4 linked regions of the Schizosaccharomyces pombe genome follow. Changing the gene in region 1 together with any one later gene gives a genetic interaction. Each region holds a gene or a part of one and is shown in the gene's direction. Other genes may lie near its edges.

Evidence for each region.
Region 2: of tgp1 (region 1) and asp1, changing one suppresses a phenotype caused by changing the other (phenotypic suppression), as found in Schizosaccharomyces pombe (one study listed by BioGRID).
Region 3: mutations in tgp1 (region 1) and gde1 impair growth when combined (synthetic growth defect), as found in Schizosaccharomyces pombe (one study listed by BioGRID).
Region 4: of tgp1 (region 1) and set2, changing one suppresses a phenotype caused by changing the other (phenotypic suppression), as found in Schizosaccharomyces pombe (one study listed by BioGRID).

What each region holds. Positions count from the first base shown.
Region 1 is NC_003423.3:349,806-354,456, reverse strand, and holds tgp1 (plasma membrane glycerophosphodiester transmembrane transporter), read left to right. Parts: upstream 1-2,045; 5' UTR 2,046-2,087; coding exon 2,088-3,674; 3' UTR 3,675-4,147; downstream 4,148-4,651. Other genes in the region: SPOM_SPBC1271.10C (transporter), read right to left, coding at 4,398-4,651.
Region 2 is NC_003421.2:570,970-576,613, reverse strand, and holds asp1 (inositol hexakisphosphate kinase/inositol pyrophosphate synthase), read left to right. Parts: upstream 1-2,041; 5' UTR 2,042-2,141; coding exon 2,142-4,904; 3' UTR 4,905-5,144; downstream 5,145-5,644. Other genes in the region: U3 snoRNP-associated protein Utp21, read right to left, coding at 1-942, 1,002-1,077; tyrosine--tRNA (Tyr) ligase Yrs1, read left to right, coding at 5,166-5,644.
Region 3 is NC_003424.3:3,291,706-3,297,977, forward strand, and holds gde1 (glycerophosphoryl diester phosphodiesterase Gde1), read left to right. Parts: upstream 1-1,841; 5' UTR 1,842-1,924; coding exon 1,925-1,941; intron 1,942-2,245; coding exon 2,246-5,636; 3' UTR 5,637-5,747; downstream 5,748-6,272. Other genes in the region: cts2 (chitinase), read right to left, coding at 1-806; Holliday junction resolvase subunit Eme1, read right to left, coding at 5,815-6,272.
Region 4 is NC_003424.3:5,407,680-5,412,829, reverse strand, and holds set2 (histone lysine H3-K36 methyltransferase Set2), read left to right. Parts: upstream 1-1,764; 5' UTR 1,765-2,015; coding exon 2,016-4,412; 3' UTR 4,413-4,650; downstream 4,651-5,150. Other genes in the region: spd1 (ribonucleotide reductase (RNR) inhibitor), read right to left, coding at 1-341; SNF2 family ATP-dependent chromatin remodeller Ino80, read right to left, coding at 4,775-5,150. UniProt on the Schizosaccharomyces pombe protein: Histone methyltransferase that trimethylates histone H3 'Lys-36' forming H3K36me3. Involved in transcription elongation as well as in transcription repression.

The sequences.
Region 1 (4,651 bases):
TGAGACTTGCAATCCACACGTCTGTATCGAAACAATATTGGTAACGTGCAATCCCTGAACCCTCTTTACTTTACATCGGGCCACATTCCGTCTGAGCTGAGGAATGTCATGTTTGCGTGCTTTACTCCCTTTCAGTCAAAATTGTGACTCAAAAGAAACAGTCACAAAATTGGTCTGAGGAGTCGCCATACATATATATACAGGGTACCCATATCCAAATATGGAAACTTTTTAAATTTTATTCTATTTTTCTCTTGGGCAATTTTTGCTTTGCTGTTTGGTTTGAGGTCAGTCGCCAAAGGCAATAGCATTGTGTGCATGTGTGCATGGTTAAAATGAAAAGTTGGCTAACAACATTTTTATTCAAAAATCATTAACATACAAATCTAATCAAAAACAAAATGAATATAGTAAGCAACAAGAATTAAATCATTTTTTTTTCATTGTTTTAATTTTAATGAGTAATTCCTTTCTTCAATTCCTTATTTTTTCATCCTTCCATTCATTCATTCATGCATTCCATCATTCCTCCTTGATGCAATGGATCGCATGGATATACATACATTGATTTGTGAATCGTGTGCATCTATTGATGGATGGGAGTTGTATGTGTTTGTGTGATGAGGGTTTGTTGAAGCAAGGCATTGTCGAGGATGCCCTCTATTTTGTGTTGTGTTTTAGATTAAAAGTTTAATGTGTTTATCTCTTTAATATACATTGTTACACAAAATCTCTGTTTATGATATTCATTTCGTTCCTATAGTTTATTCGAATGAATTGAATTGAATTGACTAGACTGACTATGCATACCAATCTTGTTGCTTCTATTGTTTAACGAAATACGCATAGAATGCTCGGATTGTCGACTTTATCATAGTTTTACGAAGTGAAATTTTTTTAAATGCTGCACTCACATACTGACTGTGTGATGTGAAAGATGAAAGTGTCATATCAAATTTAATCAAATGAACCCAAGGGAGAGTGAATATTATGAATTCACTCATCCTTGATGTTGGCAGAACGAGTCGTTTTGTCTGCATATTCAAACAACCCCCTTAAAACTATCTCAAACGAAACTAAACTCGGGCATGCATTTCAACGTTTTGCATGGTCTAATCATTTTTTGCATTGACTATATCTTTATTTGCATTTCACTATATTGTTTTGCACTTTACTAGATCGTTTTTGCATCTATGGTACGTTTTGCACTAATGAATTTTTTGCACTCACTCAATTTAAACTGCTTCCAAGAATAAAACGTTTTTATTTTTATTTTTTTTTCTTTTCCTTTGCCGTCCGTTGTTTGTCACCCTCAACTACACAAAATATCGACTCCGTGACTGTCATGTTTTATCTTTCACACGAATGACGATGAAATGTGACAGTTTATCTGGTCAGGATGATTGTACAGCCTGGGCCTTGGTTTGCATACAATTGAACGAATTGTGAGTGATTTAATGGTGGTTAATCTTAGAAATACTATAATCTACTTCAACCAATTCTATTACTTCATTTTTTGCTTTGCTGATACGGCATGGTTGCCTCATGTGTAGGACATTTGTCTGACAAACCAATTATCCCTACACGGGAAGAGAATTCCTTGGGTTAAACGGCATGTGGTCATTATCAAGGTTTCGTTAACTTTTGTCCCACAGGATGAGGTTGCCAAATCGTAATACCAGCCTGGGTCTCAAGAGAGAAAATGCGACAAGGGATGCATCGGCAAATGCCAACTCAAAGATGTCACTTTTACAGTATTCATGAGCAATGTGGTGGTGATAGACTCAAGTAACTGTGTTAAAATTAAGACAGGGGCCTGCTAAAATGAACTTACGAATAAATCGCTTTTTCCTTCGGACATTCAAATCAGTAAGTCAAAGTGTGAAAGCGTCATTGGTTGTGTTATTCGAGACTTGTAAGTCGGCAGTAAATCTATCTGTAGCGAGTGTGTTTGAGAAAGGAGGAAATTTTTGCATTGTTCATTAGCAGACTTGACATTTACCGTGTAGGTATTTAAGGTGGCAGGCTTGCCAGCTAGAAATTTCAGTGTGAAAAAAAAAATAAAAGTCTTCAAAACTGGTCGTAAAATGTCTGGTGGCTGGGATGAATCAAAATATGTCGACAACGGCGAAGATGAAGTAGTTAGACAGGTTAGCGAACCTAGTGTTGAAGAGCCAATTGAAGCTTCCGTAACTCGATATCGCAGTGATGAAGAGAAGTTGGACGACAAGTCCTCAGGCGCTCATGTAACAGAAAAAGAAGCCGAGTTCGACATCGAGGGTGGCTCACGGGAAACTAGTCAATGGAAGCATTTCTTAAACGTTGCTGTCGCCGGTGTTGCTTTGATGTCTGATGGTTACTGCTCCAATTCAATCGGTACAGTGATTACTATCCTTCGTAAACTCTACCCAGAGGAAACCACTCACAATAAGTCGTTGCAGGACATTGGTATGATTGCTTATGTCGGCACCATTGTCGGACAATTGTCATTTGGTTGGTATTCGGATCGCTTTGGTCGTAAGAATGGCATGATTACCGCTACAATTATTTTGATTGTGTCTACAGCCCTGTGTACGGGTGCTTACGGCTACAAGGGCAGTATCAATGGCATGCTTTCTGCCCTTATTGCTTATCGATTTTTCTTGGGTATTGGAATTGGTGCTGAGTATCCTTGTGGCTCCGTGGCTGCTTCAGAGTCTTCCAACGAACTGAAATCGGGTTTGCGCCATGCTGCCTTTATCGTTGTTACGGACGGTGCCATTGATTTTGGTTTTGTCGTTGGTGCTCTTGTCCCCTATATTTTAGTTTGTATCTTTGGCGAACACCATCTGCGTATTGTCTGGCGTCTCTCTATTGGCTTGGGTCTTGTGATTCCTTGCGTTCTTCTCCCTTTCCGTATTGCCATGAAGGATCCCAAAACCTATGTCAAACATAAAGTTCCCCTCACTAAAATCCCTTGGCTACTTGTATTGAAAATGTATGGTTTCCGCTTGTTCATTCTTTGCCTCATTTGGTTTGTCTACGATCTCTCTGCCTTTGCATTTGGCTTGTATTCCAGTACCATTGTCGATGGTGTTTTACCCGCCGATGCTTCTACCGCTAGATCATTCGGTTGGAATGTTCTAATCAATACCTTCTACCTTCCTGGTGCCTTACTTGGAGGTGTTTTCTCTGATTTACTTGGTCCTAAATATTGTTTGATCACCGGTCTTGTCTTACAATCCATTTTCGGCTTTTTCATGTCCGGATTCTATAACCAGTTGGTCCACAAGATTGCCGGATTCTGTGTCATTTACGGTATTTTTTTAACGTTGGGTGAATTCGGTCCCGGTGGCAACATTGGTTTGCTTGCTTCCAAAACCTCTCCTACTGCCATTCGTGGTGTTTACTACGGTATTGCTGCGGCTATTGGCAAGTGTGGTGCTATTGCAGGTGTTTACGCTTTTGGTGGTGATCAAGTGCGCAACTATTTTTATGCTGCAAGTGCGATGGCTATCTTTGTTGCTGTTTTAGCCCTTCTCTTCGTTCCAAAACTTAAGCAGACATGCATTGAGGATGAGGATAAGAGATTTATTCAAGCCTGTATCGATGCTGGTTATGGAAATCCTTACAATTACGAGAAAAACGAGCCAGAGCAGCTGGAAGAACCCGACCGCCCTCCTGCTTTCAAGTAATTCGCAGCATTGAGTATATCAAGCTTATTAATAATTTCTTAGCCCTTTCCTGAGTGCGACCTTTTCTTTTCATCATATCATTTTATGCTAATCTTTTCTTTTTTATTGTACCCTTATTAAATACAAATCATGCGGGAAGCCTACCTAGTCTTTTGCCTTGTTGTGTTTCAAAAAATCTAAAAAATTTAAAAGTCAAACTTCATTTGCAAATGTTTGATCTGACTTTGACTTTACAAAATACCTTGTTTGATAATGATTGACGGCTGATTTTGCCCGTGTTTTTATATTCAGTGGAAGTCAGGGCTATTAGACATATGGTAGGACAACTGATCTTTTGCTACCTTTTCGTCTTCATCTTTTTTCGTAATTGTTAAGTACTACTTACTCTGTTATAGTACTGATTTATCCATCCAATCATGAATATTAGTTGCTTAATGTGTTTACTGTTAAATAATTGAAAAAATTATAATATCTGCATTATGGCGTTAACGGACTTTAAGAGTCTTAATTTTTTCTTGATAATTCTAACCCATATGGTTGCTCAATTTTATATATAAAGCGCTTGTAAGTGGTGATTATCCCTACTTACTTGTTGTTATGAATAAAAAAATAAAAACTTTTTTCACTATAACTTAACTCACTTTTGTTAGACTAATAAACACATAGACATGATGAACATAAAGGATTGACCCAAAAGAGCGACAACTTATAATGAAATCCAGCTTATCGACTTTCAACCCCATCCTGACCTCTTCGATCTTGGTCGGGAATTTTTTCGTCTAAACGATTACGAACGTTTAAAAATGTATAATACTGCTTAGCGGTCCACTTGCGAAGTCTTTTACCGCAAAGAATCATTGGGAATGAGGTGGCGATAAAAATGAAACACAATACACCGATTGAAATATAAGTACGCTCCGTACCAAGGCTATCGATCCAACTTTGACAGGCAAACGTAAATACATACCCAAAAGTGT
Region 2 (5,644 bases), on another chromosome or scaffold:
ATGAAGGTGGCTCGTAATGACCATTACGAGAACGTAGGATTCTAGGAGCACCATCCATTGAATCAAAGATCCATTCTTTAAGAGAGTTATCTGGACCAGCAGTTACTAATATGGGCTGCCCGTTAAGAAACTGTATCTTTGGAAGTGACCCAAAATGAGCATTATATGTAACATTTTGAATTCTTCGCTTTGAAAGATCCCAAAAAGAAAGGTCACCAATGGGGTTGGAAGAAGCTAATATTGGTGTCCCATCAGTACGGAATGAACATGAAAGAACTTGGCCATCTTGTTTGAATTCCATGAGTATTGAACCATTTTTAAGATTAAAGATTACAATACGACCACTAATAGTACCAACAGCTAAAACATCGAGGACAGGGGCTTGTGTTAAACTAGTGATTCCATCACCAAAAAATTCCTGAAATTCATGTACACGTTTAGAAACACGCAAATTCCAAATCTGTAATGCTCCATCTGAGAATCCTAGCAGTATTTTGTTCAAATAAGTGCTTGGATGTAGTAAACTAGTGATATCTGCATTGGTATTAGGAAGAAATGTAGTATGAAGCTCAGGAACACTATATTTAGAAGCGTGTTTCCATACATAAACATGACGAGAAGATGTACAAGCAATAATCCACTCACCAAAAGCATCTAAATGAGTGACTGTTCCATGTTCTTGCTCCACATCAATGTCCCATATTATTTTACCACGTTTATATGCAAAAATTTTTGATCCGGCAGCTACAAGCATGAAATCTTTAAAGGATTTTAAACAAGTAATTTCCTTGTCTAATTGCTTGCCAACGAAAAGCAAATTCAACTTTTCGCAGTCATATGTTTGAAATGTGTTTCCCACCGACGTTGTTACCAAAAAATGGGTTCCACGAGCCTCAATGTCGAAAGGTACTGCATTGGAAACGTGACCGATGGATCTAAAGGCTAAAAATACAGTTAGCAATCTGTTCATTCCAAAAGAAAAAGAGAGAATTTTGACTTACGAGCATAGATCCTAGATTTTCTTAGAGGCTTCACCGCATTTTCATAAGTCCTCCGTTTCTTCTCTGCAAATGGCATTTTATCACAGGAAAGAACACAAATAGCACGTAAAATGGCAAAGGATGGCTCTTGTCCTGTAACTTGCAAAAAGCAGTGTTTGTGAAATTCTAGCAACCCTTTACGACCTACAGTAATAATCGTTAATTTACGACAGTGTATTTACTGAAATCGATAAATGTGTTTAACGATATGGTCAATCCGTCATATATCAATTTTCGGTAATTATAAATAAGAATCGTTCTGCTATTGTTCCGTTTATTTAAGTAAACAAATTATTTATTATTAAAAAAAAAAGAGAACTAAACATTGATGTCTAATGTTATTGTAAGATTTAATCGTAAAAACATGTTAGCAAAACTTCTACATTCTCTTCAGAATACCTAAAGAACTCTATTCACATATATCAAAAAGTGGTAAGGTAAATCTATGATTGTTGGAATTCTGGGCTTGTAAATAATGAAATAAATTTCAGTAAATTCTTAAAAAATATTTTTCTTTATGTAAAAGGTGCGAGAACAATATACTCTTGAACCCAGCTAGTAGAAGTAATTTTTTAATGTTTGTTGCTTGTAAAATTTAAACATTCCAGTCCACGTGTTTTCGCACGGACGAAAAGTAAAAACCTATTAAACAAAAATTTTTTCTAATTCTTTTTTAATTTAATATTGATGGATTTTACAAGCTTTTACTAAACTGGAAGAATACGTTTTTGAAAGAAGAATAACAGAAACTGGGCTTGGTTAAAAAAATTTTTATGAAAACCCAAATTAACTAACCCAGTATAATTAGTAAAAAAGTTATTCATAGAAGCATTACTGCGAAACAAATTCAATATTCACTGTCCACTTCATTTAAGCAACAATTTCTTATTTATTTACATTTCGTTAGGTAAACAAATGTTACCTCGCTGAATTGTAAGGTTAACCGTACAAGTAACATTGATCGACTAGGTGTGTACTAACACCGTGTACCTACATCTCTCATAACCAAACAAGTGAGGGAATTGGCCATTGAAAGAATACAAGTGGGAAAAAGGTGTTTTAAGCGTTATTAAATATTTTAACGTAGTTGAATAATAAAGGATGATTCAAAATGCAAGTCATCTTACATCTATCGACACAGAGTCATCTACCAGAACGGCGTCGCCTGTTTCCTCAATCGTTACACCTACTAAACGAAATGTAGTTGGAATCTGTGCCATGGATGCCAAAGCTCGCTCAAAACCATGTCGGAATATTCTGAACAGAATCATCGCAGAAGGTGAGTTTGAAGCCATAGTATTCGGTGACAACATGATTTTGGACGAAGCTGTGGAAAATTGGCCTGCTTGTGATTATTTGATATGTTTCTACTCTAGTGGATTTCCATTGAAGAAAGCTGAAAAGTATGTCGAGTTGCGTAAACCTTTTTGTGTAAACGATGTAGTATTCCAAGAGTTGCTTTGGGATAGACGGCTTGTGTTGAACATCCTTGATGCCATACGTGTTTCCACCCCTCAGCGTTTGATTTGCTCTCGTGATGGAGGTCCTAAAATTAATAAAGTCCTAGAAGAAAAGTTGCGTCGAAAGTTTGGAATAGAAATCACAGAGGTTCCTACCCCAGAAGTAAAAATGTTGGACGAAGATACTCTTTCTGTTGATGGCAAGATAATAAAGAAGCCGTACGTTGAAAAACCAGTCTATGGTGAAGATCACAATATTTATATTTATTTCCCTAAATCCGTTGGTGGGGGAGGTCGCAAATTATTTCGTAAAGTCGCAAATAAGTCTTCAGATTATGATCCAGATCTTTGTGCTCCACGCACTGAAGGATCTTTTATTTACGAGGAATTCATGAATGTCGATAACGCGGAAGACGTAAAGGTTTATACCGTGGGTCCTCATTACAGCCATGCAGAAACCCGCAAATCACCCGTAGTGGACGGAATTGTGAGAAGGAATCCACATGGTAAGGAAATTAGGTTTATCACCAATCTTTCAGAGGAAGAAAAAAATATGGCCTCTAAGATATCAATTGCGTTTGAGCAACCTGTTTGTGGATTTGATCTTCTTCGTGTCTCAGGTCAGTCGTATGTGATTGATGTGAATGGATGGTCCTTCGTCAAGGATAACAACGATTATTATGATAATGCTGCTCGAATTTTGAAACAAATGTTTCATGTTGCCGAACGTCATAGACGGAATCGTGTACCTTCAGTCCAAGAAGTTTTAAATCCTCCGCCTAGAGAAAGTGAGGCATGGAGACTTAAAAGTTTGGTCGGAGTCCTGCGTCACGCGGATCGTACACCTAAACAAAAGTTTAAGTTTTCATTTACATCTGATCCATTTGTAAAATTATTGCAAGGTCATACCGAGGAAGTTATTTTAAGAAACGAACAACTCAATTCTGTTTTGGCAGCTACCAACCTTGCTACAGAACTCAAATGCGAAGATATCAACAAGTTAAAACAGTTACGCTTAGCTTTGGAAACGAAGAAAGACTTACCGGGGACAAAAGTGCAACTTAAACCGGCTTATTCCCCAGAGGGAAAGCTTTTGAAACTGCAGCTAATTATCAAATGGGGTGGTGAATTTACTCATTCCGCGAGATACCAATCTAAGGATTTAGGAGAGCAGTTTCATAAGGACCTGTATATTATGAATCGTGATTGCCTGAAAGATGTCGAAATATACACATCTTCTGAAAGACGTGTCTCTGCTTCTGCTGAAATTTTTGCAATGGCCTTTTTGGAGCAAGAAACTATTCCTAGCGACTTACTCAAAGTTCGCAAAGATCTGTTAGATGATTCTAATGCTGCCAAGGATACTATGGATAAGGTTAAGAAACACTTGAAATCATTATTAAGAGTTGGAGATACGGCTAGAAAGGAGTTTACTTGGCCAGAAAACATGCCCAAGCCTTGTGAAGTAATGCAACAAGTTGTTCAACTCATGAAATATCATCGCGCAGTAATGAGAGAGAATTTTATTATTTTGGGACCTGAGGTTGAGCAAGTTCAATCGCGTTGGTGTTGTAATGAAAATCCTGCGCTCTTTAGGGAAAGGTGGGAGAAGTTGTTTAGCGAATTTTGTGACTCTGAGAAAGCAGACCCATCCAAGGTTTCTGAACTATACGATACATTGAAGTATGATGCTCTTCACAATCGGCAATTTTTGGAACGCATATTTACTCCCTATCAGTATCTCAAATTGCCTCAGAGTCCAAGCTTGATTGCCAAAGAGCCTCCCCAAAGAACCGATAGCAATGGCAATCTTGTTGGGATGACCGGTGCAAATACTAATCACACTGAAAGGCCGTTGGAAAAGTTGTATGAGCTATACGATTTAGCAAAAGTATTATTTGATTTTGTTTCTCCTCAAGAATATGGTATAGAACCGAAAGAAAAGTTAGAAATTGGTTTATTAACAAGTGTACCGTTGCTTCGTCAAATCATACATGACATTAAAGAGGCACGAGATTCTGATCATGCTTCAACAAGAATGTACTTTACTAAAGAGTCTCATATCTATACCTTGCTTAATTGTATACTTGAATCAGGACTACCTATGAAATTACCTAGAAATCAAATTCCCGAATTAGATTATCTCACTCAAATATGCTTTGAGTTATTCGAGAGGACTAATCCTTCAGGAAATAAGGAATTTTCTGTTCGTATCACACTCTCACCAGGTTGTTATGCCCAATGTCCATTGGATATGAATCTTGATGCTAAACACTGTATTAGCGTTTCACCTCGCAGGTCGCTTACAAGACATTTAGACCTTCAGCAGTTTATAACGAAAACCGAGGACCTCTGCAACTCAGTTCATCTTCCCAAAAGGTTTATTCCTGTTAACATTAATTAACCGCTTTTACCCTTTTTACGAATGTTTTGATAACATAAACATTTTTTAAACGATATTTTATTAGTAATTGCACATAATTAAACCAAATTATTTATTAAACCTTGGTTAATAATTTTGTCTGAATAATTTGTTGTTCGGGTTGCAGTCACGGTGCCGCGGCAATTCCGAACGTTGATCGCAGTCCATGATTGCAATCGAAAACATCGTTAACCAACATCACCAATTTTTGTGAGTTCCATTTAACGTTGGATATCAAGCAAGATGTCGCTTACTCCGGATGAAAAATATGAGTTGATTACTCGTAATCTTCAAGAGGTGCTTGGCGCCAAAATGATTCGCGAAATTTTGAATGAACGCGATATCAGCTTGTACTGGGGCAGTGCACCTACTGGCCGTCCTCATTGTGGTTATTTTGTGCCAATGATGAAGTTGGCTGATTTTTTAAAGGCCGGTGTACATGTTACTGTTCTTTTAGCCGATGTCCATGCTTTTTTGGATAACATGAAGGCGCCGATGGAACTCGTTCAACACCGTGTTCGTTATTATGAAATTATTGTCAAATCTATTCTAAAATCGTTGAATATTCCCATTGAGAAGCTTCGTTTTGTCATTGGCTCCAGCTATCAGCTGAAGGAGGATTATACCCTTGATAACTTTCGACTTGCTGCATCTACGACAGAGCACACTGCTCGTCGTGCCGGTGCAGAAGTTGTCAAGCAGGTCGCTAGTCCTCTATTGTC
Region 3 (6,272 bases), on another chromosome or scaffold:
GATCCATTTTGATGACCAACAACGCCATAAAAAAGACTAGTATTGGTATTATAAGCACTGTCTTCTGCATACTCAACCCATGCATCAAAAGTGCTATTACGACTTCCACTGCATCCCTCGCCAGTTGATGAGTTAAAAGTGTGGATGGAAAGGAAATCGAATGAGTTCTCAGAAATCGCCTTTGTAAGAGTATGATCAGGAACCATGCAAGTAGGAGCAGCAGAGATATAATATTTACGTCTTGGATCGGATGCATATATCTCAAGCATACGCTTTGCAAATGCAGAATAGGCGGTGTTAGTACCTTTGTTCACTTCTAAGTCAAAACCGTCTACAACGGCTTTACCGAATGGCCGGTATGAATCCTCACCACTTCCGAAAATGTTCCAAACTTGAAAAGCAAAGTTTGTCCCATCATCATCATTATTTAATGAAAAATTTCCATTGTACCCACCGATTGAAAGTAGCACTTTGATACCATTTTCTTGGCACACTTGAATATCGGTTTCTATTTGAGGGCACTTTTTCAGTTCGCTACCACTGAAGGTGTCACTGTCAGAACACAAATTGGAAAAATCGTAAACGGGCCAGCCGTCAACGTTGAAATCAATGACAGAAGAAAGAATTATAGCATCATAGGTGGTGTTTTGACAATAACTCGATAGTCTTTTTTGATCTCTATCACCCATTTTCCCTGCCAAGTTGGAACCCCAGTATCCGAGTACCGCAGTTTGGTTAGTGAGGTTTAAGCTTAAAGCTAACCGAGCCGAATAGACAAGCAGCAGTAAAGAAGATATTAACCGCATTTTGCTATGCAGGCGTGATAATAAGTTAAAATGTTAATATATCTAATAATGAAAATAAACCAAAAACAATAAAACCAGATTCAAAGTTAATCCAGGTTGGGAGAGTAAAAAAAACTGTGGTATCGTTATCTCGCACTGCGGTGTCTTTGCCTTAATTTGAGGCAATGAAGAGTAGTAAATACCAAGTTCCGTGACCGAGAGAATAATAAGATTATTTGCACAATTAACAGCTCGGTGTGTCCTTATATTACAGAGCCCAAACTTGGCGTTGGCGCCAGCCCTATGCTTTTATATCATATTCTAAATAAACAATACCAGCACGTGGTTGGCATAGCAACCACTGTTTGTAAATAAACAGCCTAGGTAAGGGAGAGGTAGCGAGGAATCGAATAGTCCAAAAGATCGTTTAGAAATTGTATTTCTTAAACTGCATTTTAAAGAATAGTATTCATATAAAATAGAATATTTTTTTCGCCCACTTGTTGTTCACCGCAAAGAGCTTTTGCAAATAGTTTAGTCTTTTCAACAGCTTAAACAGCAGCGGTTTGACTACAACATGGCAATAAACCCCAGCCATCTGTGCCCTTTATTCAACAGCTAGTAAACAAACACAAAGGCACTCAATGGCTGGTGCTCTGCATAGCCTCAAACATAAGTATGTTAGTTTTAACTGCTTCTTCAGAATAGTTCTTTTTAGTAAAAAAAGGACACAGATTCTCGATAAATAACTATTGAGCTTTTACATTATTCATTGATTAGTTTTCATCAGGGTAACGTTCAAGTTGACGCTTCTAAGCATTAGAAGTTATAATTGACGTAAAAAAATGGTGTCAAGTTGTAAGCGTTAATTTTTTAAGTTCGAATTAAAATATTTCGAATCATCACATCAAACCATTGTAGCAAATTTTGTCAAAGCTGTGTCGATGCTAGCCAAAATTGGCTTTCTACAATATTTGCTGCTAATCGTTATTATCGTTAACGAAGCGTACGACGACCAAAGTAGTGGTATTCTACCACGTATTTGAACTTGGCCTTAGCCAAATAGTAGTTTATGAACGATTGGATTACTCCATTAATTTCGATCTCTCTCAAATTCCTGAATCCCAGTCCTCTTTATTATGAAGTTTGGTGAAAGGTAGGTCGACATATTTTACACATTTTAGAATGTTGTTTAGACCTTCAAATAGCCGTTAAAGAATGCAATATTTGCAAAAAGTTTATTATGGTTAAGGCTTTTAATGTCTTGAATGTAACGGTTATGTTTGAGGATACGCATTTGTGTTGAATAGGAGTACGGGATTAATTAAGATGATCTGCCAGTAAACTCCTTTCCCTTCATTCTCATCATTTGCAACCGTATGACTAACCATTGTTTAAACTTTTCTTTTTCTTAGTTTATAATTGTTGGTTTGCTTTAGTCATTGTCTGCTAACCGACAGTCTTCAATTGGCGTTGATCCCGGAGTTTGCAGAACAGTATGTTGATTATAATGGAATAAAGCGAAAGATTCAACTGGTTGCTGCGCTTCCCGAGGATGAACGGAAGAAATTATTGAGGCGTAATAGTGACGGATCATGGCCAAAGGGATCGATCGACGAAATGTTGGAAAACGATCTTCAGAAGGTTGTTAACTTGTTCAATACTCGCATTGTCCAGCTTGATAATTATGTCACTCGTTTGTCTACGGAGAAATCTCCCAATACTGAAATTACACAGGCACTGTCTTCATCTTACGAAGCTGAAGAAAAGGCGAAGCAACTGAAAGAGCTAGACTTTCGTCTTCAACAATTATCATCCTTTTGTGAATGGAATAAGCTGGCCTTTGAAAAGCTAGCTGCCAATATGGATAAGCACCTTGGTACGGAGCGCTTGGTTACATTTTATGAGCAGAAGGTGTGTAAGCTTGATTTTGCGAATTCGTCCAAGATCTATGAGTCCATGATTGCCCTGAAGGCTTTGAATTCTTCTCAAAACGATAGTGAAGTGAAAGACAAGTTGGAAAAATTGTCAATTCACCATCCCTTGAAGAAGGATCTTTTAGCTTTTATTCAACTGGATATTGCCGCAGAGGTCGTGACCGCTTGTATAAATGCACCTGATAGTGTACTCGTAGATATACTGGCTGCCTCCATCATTGCGGGAGCCAAAGCTTGTATGCGTGAAGTTATAGGAAGAATTGGTTTACGTTCTGAGTGCCTGGCTTCTGCATTACGTCGTGCAATTAACAACCTCTGTGGTCCTGACGAAGGAGTTTTATATTTTTTGGAGGTGTTGAAACAAATTTGTTCAGTGGTTTATGTGGATTCATACCATTCTAATCGTTTACTTTCAAGGATTCTTCTTGTAGAACGAAATAGCAAGGGACAGAGTGTGATGCACTCTGTTGCGAAACTCGGTTGGGCAGGATTGTGCAGTAAGTTTTGTGAAATTGTTTCATCAATCCCTGACTCTGAGCCATTGAATTGGATGCTTCCATGTTGGCGCGATGTAATGCACGACACTCCCTTGACTTTGGCTATTAAGGGAAATCATGTTGAAGCTCTTCATGCTTTGCTTTCTGCTCAGGATAAGGAAACAACCTCTACCAAGCCGGGACCCGTTCCTCCTTTGGTCTTGACTTGCTGTGTAGGCGATTACGATTTGATCGTAGAAGAACTCATCCTTGCAGGATTCAATCCTAACGAAGTTGATGCTAGTAGCAATACAGCTTTACACACCGCTGTTCGTTATAACAGGCCGGAATGTGTTAAAATGTTACTCAAACTTGGAGCAAACCCTAGCGCAAGGGATTTTTTGAATTCATGGACTCCTTTGATGCTTGCATCAGCTACTGGACTTTCCGAAATTGTTTCAATTTTAGTTGCCTCGGGCGCTTCGGTTGACGAAGTTGATTCTTCAGGTTGGACTGCTATGGAACAAGCTGTGGTTCGGGGGTATTTACACCTAGCAGATAAACTTAGAACTCAAGTCGCCTTGAGTGATAAGCCTGTTAATTTACATACACTTTATATCAAAGCCTCAAGTTCCGAAATGAGGAGCAGAAAACGTGCCATGGATTTACAATTATCTCGTTCAGTGGTCATTATTCGAATCAGTGATTTGGCCGGTAGAATCCGCGTTAGTCTTCAAGGTGATGATGCTGTGTATGTTTCAGGGCGGTCTCCATCTTTTGCCGCAAGTAGACCATCTTCAGTAGATTTCATGTCTCAATCTACTGACTCGTTGAGTAAAAACGACACTACTGCTTCTAATGGCTCTATGACACCATCTTCTAGCCAAAACAACTCAGTGATTATTGATATCCCTCGCTCCCATTTTGATAATGCCGGTGAAGTTTGCTTAGAGAATTTGGCGGAGCCTGATGAAATTGCCGACGACTCTATTCATTTGCATTATGATGCCGCACAAGAAAATAGTCCGCAACCTGTAAACGGGTCTTCTCCACCGTATGAATTGGTTTTCGTTACAAGAAATACAGAAGAAGCAACTATTACAATTGATTTGTTAGCAAATCGATCCCATAAAATATTAGGGAGAACTGTATGTTGCTTGACTTCTCTGGTATCTGATTTGGGGAATCATATGCAGTCGTTGAAACCTTTGGCACCCTTACCATTACTTTCGAGTAAAACTCTTAAACCAATAGCTCATGTTAATGCGGATGTTCTTATTTCTAAGGTGACAGTTGATGATAGATTTTCGTCAAATGATGGCATAAGTACCCCTGCCTTATCGCTGGAAGCAGTTTCCAACGTAAGTCGCACTGCATTGGAAGACGCTGAGCGTTCTTTACACAAATCTGCCACAACTACATCAGAATCAGGGAAATCGAATGGTGTTGCGGTTATCGGACATCGTGGACTTGGTAAGAATCAGCCTGATCGTTTGAGTCTTCAACTTGGCGAGAACACTTTACAATCGTTTATAAAAGCGGCAGATCTTGGTGCTTCTTACGTTGAATTAGATGTGCAAATGACTAAAGACATGGTCCCAGTGGTATACCATGATTTTATCGTAAACGAAACCGGAACGGATGCACAAGTGCATTCGCTGACTTTGGAGCAATTCTTAGGGGCTTCCCACTCTCCTTCAGAAGAAATTAAAGATGATGCAAGTGACATTCAGCAGAAGAGACGTCCTAGGGCCTACAGTTCCTCATTTACACCTTCAGGATCACAGGTTAATTTCGGTGAATTTGCTGAAGAAAACGCACGTTTGAAGCCTAAAGTATATAAGGGTAATGCCCTTGGTCATACGATTTGTGCACCGTTCACAACTTTAAAGGATGTTTTGAAGGAAGTTCCACAATCCGTAGGACTTAATGTGGAATTTAAGTACCCCATGCTAAGTGAAGCTGAGGAAGAGAAATTGCTCCCTATAGCTTATGATTATAACTTTTACGTGGATACCATTCTATCGATAATCAAAAAGTATGGTGGTAAAAGAAAGTATATTTTCTCTAGTTTTAATCCTGATATATGCATCTTACTTTCTTTGAAATCGACTAATCCTGTTCTTTTTTTGACTGAAGGAGGTACCGCTTACCGAACAGACGTTCGTGCAGCATCGCTTAGACAAGCTTTAAAGTTTGCCTCACAGTGGAGTTTTCTGGGTATCGTTAGTGCTTGTGAACCGCTCATTATGTGCCCGAGGCTGATCAAGGCAGTTAAACAATTGGGTTTATCTTGCTACACCTATGGTGTTCTCAATAATGATGTTGACAATGTCCGACGCCAAGTACGTTTTGGAGTTGATGCTGTCATTGTAGACAATGTGTTAGCCATTAGACGTGCCTTGAACCAGTACGATGAAAGTTTGGAATCTGATTGATCTAGAAAGTTTGAACGAATACTACCGACGATATAGAAGATGAGGTGCTTTAGTTAGAAACCGATATTAGTTAATTTTTAGTTAGAAGAAAGTATATCATAAGAAAATTTCATAGATAGAAAAAAAAAGGAAAAAATATCATGATAACAATTAATGAAATACAAATAATGACCGATCACTATGGTGCATCACTGGATGCTTCTTTACATAAGAAAGTGTTATATATACGGCGCGATAAAACCGGACCTAAATTTCGTTCACTAATACTAGATTGGATGACAACGTTGGTTAATGATTCCTCGCCGTGAGTTTTTAGATGATGAATTAAAGATGGTATACTGTCAAATTGATCGCATATGGCGTTAGCAATGTTAGGTGTAACTCGTAGTATTTGCCGCAACATAAAATTTAGAGAGTTTTCAATTCTATCGGCGGATTTGACATGTCCTATTTCGGTAGTAGAGGCTCTAGCTGAAAATTTAGAAAAGTGCTTGTAACGAGATAAAGCTATGTCGCCGGTAAAGGAAACTATCCATTGAGCGGTTTCTTTTTCGTCATTTGAAGTGTTTATAAGAATACTATGTTCGAAACTGAAGCGGACGATTTCACTCTCTAACTTTTCTTTAGTAAAGTTTT
Region 4 (5,150 bases), on another chromosome or scaffold:
TCAAACGGCTTCAACCATTCCGGTTCTTCAAAGTCTTGAGGAGGATTGGCCCAGTTATAATTAGGAATTGCTTGCTCGAATGGACGCTTAGTACCGTTAGGCTCATAAGAAAATGCGGTATTTTTTAAAGCAATGTTTTCAGAAACAGTGTTGTAAAGCGGTGGGTTATAGGCAGGAAACGTGGTTTGTTTCGACTTGTATCCGGTGGAAATTGATTTACGAACCCGCATTCCCACGTCCATTAAGGAGCCTTGAATGCTTTCGGGAAGCTGAGGACGCATTGAAGACTCAGGCTGCTCAACATGAGTCTTTGTGGTCATAACTCGCTTGCTGCTGTGCATTTTTTCCAAAATAAATTGTCGACGAACCTTTGTGTAGTGTTTGGTTGTGGGAGCGTTTGCTACTCGGCTTTGTGACGTTTAAAGCAGTCAAATTTGTCTGGGGAATGCCTATCGAACACGGATCTCTTTACATTTCACTAACCCACGTTATTCATAAATGGTAGAAAATCTACAAAATTTGGAATTGCAGTTTTATTGCTTTTGCGATTGAGATCTTGTTTTCTTGTGGTTCTGCCACTTTTTCCGCACTCTTTATATCTAAGAGTTAAAGTAAAACATTTAAAGCAATTAAATTCGCTTTCTCTTTTATTGCCAACTGCTTTCAAGGTAACAGCTGAAACGTTTGTTCGTTAAATTTGGTCAAACCTTTTGCAAAGCTTGAAATCGCTTCTTCCTTTGTTCTTCACATGTTGTCTCATCGTAACTTGGCCCCTGTTCGGTATGGTTTTCTTATTAACTTTACTGGCACCGTCGTGCCATGAAGGACAAGTAGCTGCATATAGATTGTAGTAAGTATAGCTTGAGTTAAAGACCTTTTAAGATAAGATACACATATATAAACATATGGAATAGGTTTATCTTTTTTTCTTAGCCTTTATTTTTGTTTAATAGCTTTTTAAAATTAACAATGACTAATGCTCTGACAAAATTTTAGCATTATTTCAATTTCGCCAATGTATATATTATGTGTTTAAACAATATTAACAAAAGTGGTTGGGTTTGAAGAAATAAAGAATCTACCTAGAATTAACAGGATGAGCATTTTCAAAATAAAATGACTTTATTACATACATTCCTAGTTTCTTTCTTTACCGATTCTCAAACTTCTGTTTAATTACTGCTTCAATAGATGCAGGTAGATGATGATTTTACATTAATAAGACCAAGGGAACAAAAAGAATACCAAATATAATTCAATACCACATGCTTGGATTTGTAAATTGAACATATTGTAAACTTACTTGTTCTGGGTCTATCCAGTATGAGCACGCTGACTGCCTCACTCAAAATATTCGTTGAAAAAGCTTTTCTTATTCATTCATTGTTGATAATTAGTGTCTATCTTTGCGTACCATATGTTTTTTGGATAAACAACCTACTACAGTTACATAGTATGATTGATATTATTAATTCAAAGATATTCGCTACATAAGGCGCCGAGTGTAAAAAACAGAGTGAATTTTATTACACTAACAGTGTTATTTCTTCAACAACTATTATGGAATTTCTGGAAAAGAATGGCATTCAAATGTTGCGCGTGATGGTGATTTTTTGTAGATGCTTGAATGAAATGAAAGTAAAGATTTTAAAGCCTTTTCTTTTAATAGGTTTCTTTAATATTTAACACTAAAGTCAAGAGTTGTCGTTTACACTCCGGTACTGTGAGCCCCTACGAGGATTCCGCGAGTAAAGAAGGAACGCCGCCAACAGCCACAACTTCTTCCTTGAGACAATTTCCTGATCTCACTGTTTCTTTGACACGAAACTTTGAAACGTTAGAAGATCTATATGTTACGCATCGAGATATTTTCGGAAATTTTCTAAAAAGAAGATTTTCGGTGAAATTTCAGCTGGTCTTCTTTCTATTGTTTTGGCTTCCTTCGGCAATTACTTTTTGTTCAATAAAACTGTAGATTTTTTAACTTTCTCTTTCTTTTTGTCCATTATCATACAATGCAGACGGCATCATCTCTTTCTGTTTTAACTCCTTTGAATGAGGAAAACGTTGATAGGAAGTCTTCTTGGTCAAAAGACACAATCGCTGTCCAGGCAGTCGGTTCATCACCATCTTCTTCGTCATCTCATGATTTCGAAAGTAAAGAGGATGCCGAAGGGATGAATAAAGACGAAAGTGCTCCTTCCCCTTCTACGTCCTCGCCATCGTCTGCATCCTCTCGGTCTCAAAGCAAATATGTTAGAAAAGAGGCACTTCCTCCTCAACTTTTTCATCACCTGGATTCTGCGAAAGATAAGGCGCTAACTACGTTCGAAGAGATTCAAGAATGTCAGTATGCTTCCGCCAATATTGGTAAGCCTCCAGAAAACGAAGCTATGATTTGCGATTGTCGGCCTCATTGGGTAGATGGAGTTAATGTTGCTTGTGGGCACGGATCCAATTGTATTAATAGAATGACTTCTATAGAGTGTACGGACGAAGATAACGTTTGTGGACCATCCTGTCAAAACCAACGCTTTCAAAGACATGAATTTGCAAAGGTGGATGTTTTCTTAACCGAAAAGAAAGGGTTTGGTTTGCGCGCTGATGCCAATTTACCCAAAGACACATTTGTCTACGAATACATTGGAGAAGTTATACCTGAACAAAAGTTTCGTAAACGTATGCGACAATACGATAGTGAGGGAATTAAACACTTTTACTTCATGATGCTGCAAAAGGGGGAATATATTGATGCTACTAAAAGGGGGTCGCTCGCAAGATTTTGCAATCACTCTTGTAGACCTAATTGTTATGTTGATAAATGGATGGTAGGAGATAAGCTAAGAATGGGTATATTTTGTAAAAGAGATATTATTCGCGGTGAAGAGCTTACTTTTGACTATAATGTCGATAGATATGGTGCACAAGCCCAACCTTGTTATTGCGGAGAACCTTGCTGTGTAGGGTATATTGGCGGAAAGACGCAAACTGAGGCTCAATCGAAACTACCTGAGAATGTCCGAGAGGCTCTTGGTATTGAAGATGAAGAGGATAGCTGGGAAAACATCACTGCACGTCGACAACGTCGTAAAAAGGGAATTGACGAAACTAGCAAAATTATTGAAGAGGTGCAACCTACTCCTCTGACATCTGAGTCTGCTACTAAAGTGATTGGCGTTCTCCTGCAAACTAAGGATGACTTATTAACAAGAAAGTTAATGGAACGCATTTTCTTGACTTCAGATCCTAGTGTATGCCGTTCGATCATTGCGTTACGTGGTTACAACATTTTTGGTTTGATGCTGAAGAAGTTCAGCATTGATATTGAGTTTATACTACGTTCTATAAAAACCATGTTATCTTGGCCACGCCTAACAAGAAATAAAATCCAAGATTCAAATATTGAGCCCGTTGTTCAAGAGTTTTGCGACCATGAGAACGAGGAGGTCAAAGATCATGCCAAAACTCTTTTAAAAGAATGGGAATCTTTGGAGATAGCTTATCGAATTCCCCGAAGGAAGCCTGGTCAAGTTGCTCCACAGTCAACGAACGCAGAACCCTCCAATAATCAAAGTAATCCTCCTTTAAGGGATCAGGAACCACAACGTGGCGATAAGGGAGATATAAAATCTGCAATCAATAATTCAACAGAAGATTTGAGCAAGAAACATCCAGCATTACATTCTTCTAGGCCTAGTGATAGTCGTTCACGTTCCAAGTTTGGAAATGACTATCAAAGCCATTCAAAACACAACCTTTTTCGTAAAAATTCTTTCCCTAAACGTCGTCGTCTTTCTAACTCTGACACTCCTTCTGAAACAACTACACCAAATAATGAGCAAGAACAAGTCAGCAATCAAGCTAATAAAGTAGATTTAAACAAGATTATTTCAGCGGCAATGGAGAGTGTCAATCAGAAAAATGTGTTGAAGGCACAGAAGGAGGAAGAAGAAAGAATAGCTCAGCAGAAAAGAGAAGAAAAGAGACGTCTTGCTTACGAAGAAAGTTTGAAAAGACATGCCAAAAAGTTGCATGAAAAGAAGACGAAAAGCTCTCAGGATGCCACAATTGATCATCATTTAACTTCGCATAGTCCTGAAAGCATTGCTTTTAAGGCAGTTTTGGCAAAATTTTTTGCTAACAAAACAGCTAGATACCAAGAGAAGCTTGGTAAAGCTGAATTTAAATTGAGAGTAAAGAAAATGACTGAAATTATCTTGAAAAAGCATATTCAGTTAGTTCTATCCAAAAAAGAAAAAGCTTTACCAGATGAATTATCAGACTCTCAGCAGCGAAAGCTGAGAGTTTGGGCATTTCGATATTTGGACACAGTTGTATCGCGTTCTGGCACTGCGACTACAACTCCTACAGATTCACCCAGTATTGGCGAATCCCCGAAAAAAGCTGCTTAATCGCCAGTATTTTTAACTGCGACAAGTAGCAACGTCTACCATACTATAGTTCCAAATATTGCATGTCTTTAATACCTGGTGTCTAGTTTTTTTTTTCTTCCTTGATGTAATATTTTAATACTATTTTTTTTTTTAAATACAATCTTTAATTTCCAGACATAGAAGCCGTATTTGTGTCTAAATGCACGTCGACTGTTTACAACATTTCATCTAATTATATAACCCTGGACTGGACCGGTATAGCATTTTGATTAATAGGTTAATATTTAGCTAATTAAATTCCATGCAAAAATTGATGTACTATTAGGTTAAGTAATTTTTAATAAAACGGGTTAACGAAACTTTAGCTATACACACACCATTTATTCTTCTAATAGCCATGAAACCATTTCTCTTGAGTTACCCTTAAGGTCCATTTGTTTAGTTGGCCGAGTTTCTCCACCTGAAATAACCACTTTTTGTACTTCCTCCTTTTCTTTAGCACGTATAACAATCCGTTCTTCAATGGTTCCACGAGTAATAAATCTGTAAACGGTGACTTGTTTTTGCTGACCGATACGATGAGCTCGATCCATGGCTTGACTATCAATACTAGGATTCCAGTCTGAATCATAAAAAATAACAGTATCAGCGGCAGTTAAGTTAATACCCAAACCACCTGCCCTTGTTGAAAGTAGAAATACAAAGAGTTCGGGCCGTGTTTGCCATTCTGTAACCATATCTCGACGTTGACTAATT